2 linked regions of the Cricetulus griseus genome follow. The protein of the gene in region 1 binds, or shares a complex with, the protein of each later gene. Links are inferred from orthologs where the notes say so. Each region holds a gene or a part of one and is shown on either strand. Other genes may lie near its edges.

What was found.
Region 2: Nhp2 (region 1) and Nop10 share a complex: the UniProt entries of both Homo sapiens proteins name them as parts of the H/ACA small nucleolar ribonucleoprotein (H/ACA snoRNP) complex. The link is inferred for Cricetulus griseus from reciprocal best matches to the Homo sapiens genes NHP2 and NOP10.

What each region holds. Positions count from the first base shown.
Region 1 is NC_048600.1:65,901,555-65,905,827, forward strand, and holds the start of Nhp2 (H/ACA ribonucleoprotein complex subunit 2), read left to right. Parts: upstream 1-1,225; 5' UTR 1,226-1,307; coding exon 1,308-1,467; intron 1,468-1,564; coding exon 1,565-1,634; intron 1,635-4,195; coding exon 4,196-4,273. UniProt on the Homo sapiens protein: Required for ribosome biogenesis and telomere maintenance. Part of the H/ACA small nucleolar ribonucleoprotein (H/ACA snoRNP) complex, which catalyzes pseudouridylation of rRNA.
Region 2 is NC_048599.1:66,084,060-66,087,108, reverse strand, and holds Nop10 (H/ACA ribonucleoprotein complex subunit 3), read left to right. Parts: upstream 1-1,496; 5' UTR 1,497-1,584; coding exon 1,585-1,638; intron 1,639-1,890; coding exon 1,891-2,031; 3' UTR 2,032-2,261; downstream 2,262-3,049. UniProt on the Homo sapiens protein: Required for ribosome biogenesis and telomere maintenance. Part of the H/ACA small nucleolar ribonucleoprotein (H/ACA snoRNP) complex, which catalyzes pseudouridylation of rRNA.

The sequences.
Region 1 (4,273 bases):
CTCAGGGAGTAGCGAAGGTGGATCTATTTCAGTTTAAGGCCATCAAAATCTACATAGTGAGTTTCAGGACAGGCAGGGCTAATTAATGAGACTTTGACTCAAAAAAACAAAAACAAAAACAAAAACAAACAAAAAACCCACACAAAGAAAAAAACACCACTAGTAGTTAATAAGTTCTTTATATTCATAAGCACTCCTGATGTTGATTTTCTTCTAAAGACGTATGGACTAGGCCGGGCGGTGGTGGCGCACGAATTTAATCCCAGCATTCAGGAGGCAGAGGCAGGTGGATCTCTGTGAGTTCGAGACCAGCCTGGTCTACAAGAGCTAGTTTCAGGACAGCCTCCAAAGCCACAGAGAAACTCTGTCTTGAAAAACCAAACAAACAAAAAAAAAAGCATGGGGCAGTTTGACTCCCTCATTAGTAGCTGGACTCTCCCTTGTTGCCCTGGCTGCCTGGAGCAAAAGGACAGTCAGTCTCACAGCCACCTGGGCCTCCTTTAGGCCAGCTAGCTCAGCTGGTACTTTCTATAATGCCTTCAGAAAATGATATAAGCACTTTGGCTGATTGCCATGGCTCCTGAAAGCATAGCCTCAGGCAAGACTGTTTGAAACAGTGTGTATCACTGTTTCAATCTGATGCCTGGATAAATGAATTTATATCACTACTTTTGTTTTACTTTTGAGGCAGTACCCTACTATGTTGCCCTAGGAGGGTCTCACTGTGTCGTCCTGGCAGGCCTTGAACTCACTATGTAAGACCAGGCTAACCTAAAACTCACACAGATCTACCTGCCTCTGCCTCCCCAGTGCAGGGATCAAAGGCGTGCGGCTTATAGCTTGAGCAACAATATTCAGGAAGGGAAAACGAAAACTTGAAAAAACCTTTAGCGGCACCAGGATTCAGCTAACCAGTAGCATCAGGTCACACCTGCCCAGGAGCTCAGGAGCCACACTACAGATTAATTCCTTTCGCCCCGCCCCTCTTCCCTTCCGACAAGACCCGCCTCTATCCCTATGGGCTCCGCCTCTCTATCCAAAGGCCCCGCCCCTTTCCCCTCTGAAACCCGACCTCTAAACTCCGCTACCGCGGGCGAAATCCAAACCCCGTGCCTAGATTGCCTTGTGACTCCGCCCCTACAGCCAAGACCCCGCCCCTCGCAGACATATTTACAGATTGGACGGTACAGAATACCTCGTTTCCCAATTGGTCACAGGGAAGGGCAGCTTCATGACCCGGAAGTGATCTCGGAGGCGGCGGCCGCGTGGTTCGTGTATTCACCTACTGGATTGCCGCAGTCTCTAAGATGACCAAAATAAAGTCCGTTCCGGAGGAGTCTGAGGCGCAGGCGGAGGGCTGCAGCGAGGAGCGCACGTACGAGGAGCTGCTGGTCAACCTGAACCCCATCGCGCAGCCGCTGGCGTCCCGCCGCCTGACGCGCAAGCTCTACAAGTGCATCAAGAAGGGTGAGGCGGCAGGGCGCGTGGCGAACGCGGGGCGGAGCGGGCGGCGGGCAGGCGGGCACGGGCTGGACGAAGTCGCGGCTCACCCTTCTCTTTGCAGCCGTGAAGCAGAAGCAGATTCGGCGTGGGGTGAAGGAGGTTCAGAAATTTGTCAACAAAGGCGAGAAAGGGTAAGAACCAATCCTCACATTGGTTTTTAAGTTTTATGTGTGTGGTTTTTTTTTTTTTTTTTTTTGCAGCTCTGGGGATTGAACCTAGGGCCTGTGCATGCTAGACAATTAACTCTGCCACTTGAGTTTGCGTTTTCAGTTGGTTAAGACTGAATTACACCTACTTAAGTGCTCAGTAAAGGTGAAGTTTACTCTGGCCTGAACTGCCTTCACTACAGACACCCACATCACTTACAGGAGCTCCCAATGAACTACAGGGAAGAGAACCCAGACCACGTATCCCGCCCTGTTCGTTCGTTCTGTGGATTGGCAGTTCTTTTCTGGAAAGCTTCAGGCAACATGCTGTAGGGAGACATCTTCCCAAGTAGGCCAGAGGAGAATGAGGGCTACTTTCCACTGCATAGCAAGTTTAAAGCAAGCATGACTATGAAAACGTTACAAAAAACCAAAAGGATAGAATGATAGCCGGGAGTGGTGGTGCAGGCGTTTGTTTAATCCATCACTTGGGAAGCAGAGGCAGGCAGATCTCTTGAGTTCCAGGACAGCCAGAACTGTGTATAGATACACTATCTCAAACTAACAACAAAGGAGAGAATGGATGAATGTTGGTTTGGGGGTTTGGGATCCTGAGAAGTATCTCATGAAGGCCTTTCAATTTTTTTTTCTTTTTGACTTATTTTGTGTGTGAATGTTTTGCCTAAACATATATGTGTGTCACTGGTGTCCTTGGAGATCAGAAGAAAGCAAAGTGTCAGATCCCCTTAGACTGGAGTTACAGATGATTATGTACCACCATGTGGGTGCTGGGAATTGAATGTGGGCCCTCTGGAAGACCAGCTGAGGCACCTCTCTAGTCCTTGTGGGGCTTGTTTGGTTTTTGTTCTCAAAGCAAAGTGAACACTGAGAAGTGCTATTGAGGAAGAATCAGGAGAGGCAAGTCAGACTTAGGAAGCTGTTGCTGTAGCCCAAGTGAGGGGTCGGGACTAGAGTGAAGGTTGGAGGATTAGAGAGGACAGTGACAGGTCTGTGCCTCCCGTGCGCCCGTTTGGGGTGTAGTCTGTGACTGCAGACAGTGAAGGAAAACCATGTTTGTCTGAAAACACTTTAGGTGTGGTTTTAGACAACTTTTCAGTATTTCAAAGGGTACCTTTATTACATGTGTATGTGCCTGCATACATATGTTGCATACATGTGCACTCTGGTGCTTATGTGGGTGTCAGAGGACAACTTGGGAGAGTTGATTTTCTCCACCATTTCCGTTCCGGGGACTGACCGAACTCAGGTACCTGGGGTTGGCAGTGAGTGCTTATATCCACTGAGGCATCCTGAGTTGACATGGAAAATGTCCTGGACATGCTATGCTTCCCTGTCCTCTTAACAGATGGTTGTGTTTGGTGGGGCAAACGAGGCCTGGTATTTCCAGGTGGCACCTGGCACCATGATTATGGGTCAGGGTAGCCAAGGAGAAGGGAGCACAAGGGAGGGCAGGCAAGCAACAGGCAGTGAGGACCAGTGCTAGGCCAAAGGGAATGAACTATGGAATCAGGGTTTTGAACCAAGGATTCTTGATCTGTCACTCACCCTTAAAGAATATTCTTCCTCTGGGCGGATCATTAGGACTATGGGTCTGTACAGAACACTGACAACTCACAACTTTAGTTGACATTTTTACTCTGGCAAACTTTCTCTTGGAGCCAGGCGTTGGTGGTGCACACCTTTAATCCCAACACTCGGGAAGCAGAGGCAGGCGGATCTATGTGAGTTCGAGACCAGCCTGGACAGCCTCTAAAGCCACAGAGAAACCCGGTCTCGAAACGGCCCCCCCCCCCAAAAAAAAAAAAAAAACCTTTCTCTTGGGACAGACCCTGTCTGTTTTCAGACCCCTGCCAATTTCTATGGCTTTGTTTTTTGGTCCTCTCCTGTATGTATTGCAAAAGGCGACCCTTGTTCTTGGCAACCAGCCTTTCAGTACCACTCTGTTCCCTTGGCCTTATTCTGTCCCTGCCCCTGCCATTCTAGGAGCCTATTTGTGGCACTCAAGTCTCTGTTGGAGTCATCTCCTAGCCGGGCAGTGGTGGTGCACACCTTTAACCCCAGCACTTGGGAGGCAGAGGCAGGCAGATCCCAGTGAGTTCGAGGTCAGCCTGGTCTACAGAGCGAGTTCCAGGACAGCCAGGACTATCGTACACAGAAACACTGCCTCGAAGAACCAAAAAAAGAGTCATCTCCTAGAATGTCACTGACACTTAAGAGCTGAGTTTCTATTTCTTGGCATTCCTCCCATACCTCATCTGTCCCAGCATTGTACCGCTTGTCACATTTGGTGGTATTTATGTGCTGTCAAATAGAGATCATGTCCCCCAGAAGAAATACATTTGCCAAACACGACTTTACACTCCCTTCTAAAGTTGGAGGCTGTCATGAACATGGACTCCTTGGAGGCAGGGCATCTTATTTATCTCTGTGCTCTCACAGCCCAGCTGGAGGTAATGCTTACAACTAAACAACTGAAAGGGAAGGAGGGACCAAAGTAGAAATAATGGTGGTTTCTCTCGTTGCAGAATCATGGTTTTGGCAGGAGACACATTGCCAATTGAGGTATACTGCCATCTACCAGTTATGTGCGAGGACCAGAATTT
Region 2 (3,049 bases), on another chromosome or scaffold:
GCATAAATTAGAGTCCTTGGTCACAACCGGTGCCTTAAAATTACCATAAAGTCTTTCACTAAATTACTTTTTGAAGTTATTAAATTAATTACATTAAATTAATAGATTAGCATAGCTGAAAAGTCAAACTAAGAAAAGTTTGAAGAGAAAAAAAGGAGATAAAAGGGTATGGGAGGATGAAAACGACTAAAATTCGGTGTGTGTGTGTGTCTGTGTGTGTTAAACGGTAGACAACAACAAAAACCACACAAAACAAACAAAAAACCCAGGGCATGCAAAATAAAATACGCAGCAGCAAGCATTCTTTCCATCCATTTCCCTGTAACCAAATCCTCCTCCAAGCCAGAAGATGCCGATATTAACTGTTTCTAGTACATTCCCGCCCCTCGCAAAATCTCGTGCATGTGTACACGTGTACACGTGTACACACACACACACACACACACACACACACACACACACACACACCACACACACACACACACACACATACACACACACACACACACACACACACCGTTTGGCTTTTTGTTTCTCAGTTTAAAGCAGGGTCTTACTGCTCGAATACTGCTCAGGTCGGCCTTGAACCTACTGGTTGCTAGAGATCCTTCCGCCTCAGCCTCCGGACTTCTGGGGTTACAAGCCGGTGTTAAACTCCCTAGTTTTTTTTAATATATCTTATGAGACGACAAGTAAACCAACTATATTCATTACTAAAAAAAAAAAAGAAAAAAAGAGAAAAAAAACTAAAGTTTTTCTGGCTATAAATTTAATATGTTACAATATTTTTGCCACTATGAATAGTGCTACAATGGTCATTTTGCAATATCTTGGTTTTAATTTTAATTTTTCTAAACTAGACTCTTATAAGACTTTTTATCTTTGAAAAACTGGAAATACTCCAAGAAAGTTACCTTACTGTGATATTATTCGCTACTCACCATGTAAGAAAGAGATGAATTTGTGGTCAGGTCCTGAGTTTGAATCTTGGTGCAGCCTCTAAAACAAAATTCACCAGTTTCATAAGAAAACCTTTACGTTCTTTTCGCTTTGCATAATATCGAATACCCATCATGCACTCTTTACCGCCAACACTTTGAAATGGGGCGGGGAACCGGATGTAAAAGTGGGGGTCTGAAAAAAATCTTACATCTTCCCTAGGATATAGGAGGTTGAGTATCCTGGAACCCTTGTTTCTCCAGGAACTACAAAACTAATGCCTCTGAAATGGGTGAGCAATTTGAGAGTAAAGACAGGACTGGATGCATCAACATTTAACCCACACCCATCCCTACCTCCCAACGTCTGGGAGTCCCTGGCACACAGTGGGCAATTCCATGGCTCTTTGCAAGGCAACTTTGCAAGGTTGTAGCTAGTTGGGAAGACCAAGGCCAAGTTCTGCTCCACTGTGCCCCCTTCTGGTCAACTGGATATGACTGGAGAAATGGACTACATTTCCCGGCATGCCTTGTACCGACTTCCGGTCAGATGGGAAGGATGTTGGCGAACACGGTTGAGGCGGTGTATTCCAGGCAAACGCGCCTGGCTGCGGAAGAGTGAGGATCTTCGTGCTGAGTTGCAGTCATGTTTCTCCAGTATTACCTCAACGAGCAGGGCGATCGCGTCTATACGTTGAAGGTAAGGGGAGAAAACAGCTGTAAGTCGGGAGGACAAGAAATTTAGGTGGGAGGAACAGTTGGAACCGGCCGCCGGCCAGCGCAGCCGGGTGCTTGGAGCCACGTCCGGGCCGAAACGTGGTAGATGCCGGCATTGCACGACTTCTTGTTCTGACCGCCGCGTCTCCTGGCTTCAGCTTTCCCATTTTCTTGTTGTCCCCTTGCTAGCACACCACTCATGTATTGAGATCATTTTCTTTTTTTCCTCGAGCAGAAATTTGACCCTATGGGACAACAGACTTGCTCTGCCCATCCTGCTCGGTTCTCCCCTGACGACAAATACTCAAGACACCGAATCACCATCAAGAGACGCTTCAAGGTGCTCATGACCCAGCAACCGCGTCCTGTTCTCTGAGGGTTCGTTAATTTTCATGTGCTGCCCTACCCCAGGCCGATTATCAATAACCAAAGGCGTCAGTCCGTGAGCAGTGAAGCCTTCCCATGCTGTTTGGAATCCTATCTTACTACGTGACTGAGTCTGTCGTGATGGGCATCGCCTGTAAAAGGAACAGTCTTAACTTTTTTTTTTTTTTTATGCTTTGAATTACTGCCAGGTTATTAAAGAGACAATGTCTTGAAAGTTCATTTTGTGTGTGATTGGAGGGAAAGATGGGGGAGTGTAGTGCCGTTGCTAGTACAAGGCCACTTGAGAACAATGGTAAGCCCTCACTTTTGAAGTAGCAATGCGCCATGAGTGTTAGGGTGTTGGGGAAGAAAGGCTGAGAAAGACTCCTACAAAGGTCAGCGTTCACTGAAAATATACTCCAGTCCCTGGAGTAAATTGTGGCCCCTTTAAATAACATTCCGAATTCCTCAAAGAATAATAAAGGCATAAAGACTTAATTGGCAGTTACGAAACTGGTACTGTTACCCCCTCTTTAAGGAGTAAAGGCACTCAACTTGTTTAGTCCTCGTTTTTGTTTTTGTTTTTTTCCTCAATTTTAAGAGTGGGAAGGAGCCTGGCGGTGGTGGCGACGCCTTTAATCCCAGCACTCAGGAGGCAGAGAGGCAGGCAGAACTCTTGAGTTCAAGGCCAGCCTGGTCTACAAATCGAGTGCCAGGCCAGGCTGCAAAGCCACAGAGAAACCCGGTCTCGAAAAAACCCCCCCAAAAAAAAAAAAGAAAAAGAAAAGTGTGTGTGTGTGTGTGTGTGTGTGTGTGTGTGTGTGTGTGTGTGTGTGGAGGTGAATCTTCTTAGTAATTATACAGTTGTTTGTTCAGCTGTCATAAGTGGGAATGTCTTTGACCAAACTTGCTGTCCTGGAAATCTATCCACACTTTTTTCTCTCTAGTCAGCTTACATATAATAACCCTACATCTGTTACATCTGTATTTTCTTTGGCAGCCAGCAGCTATGTGTAATGCCCCACATA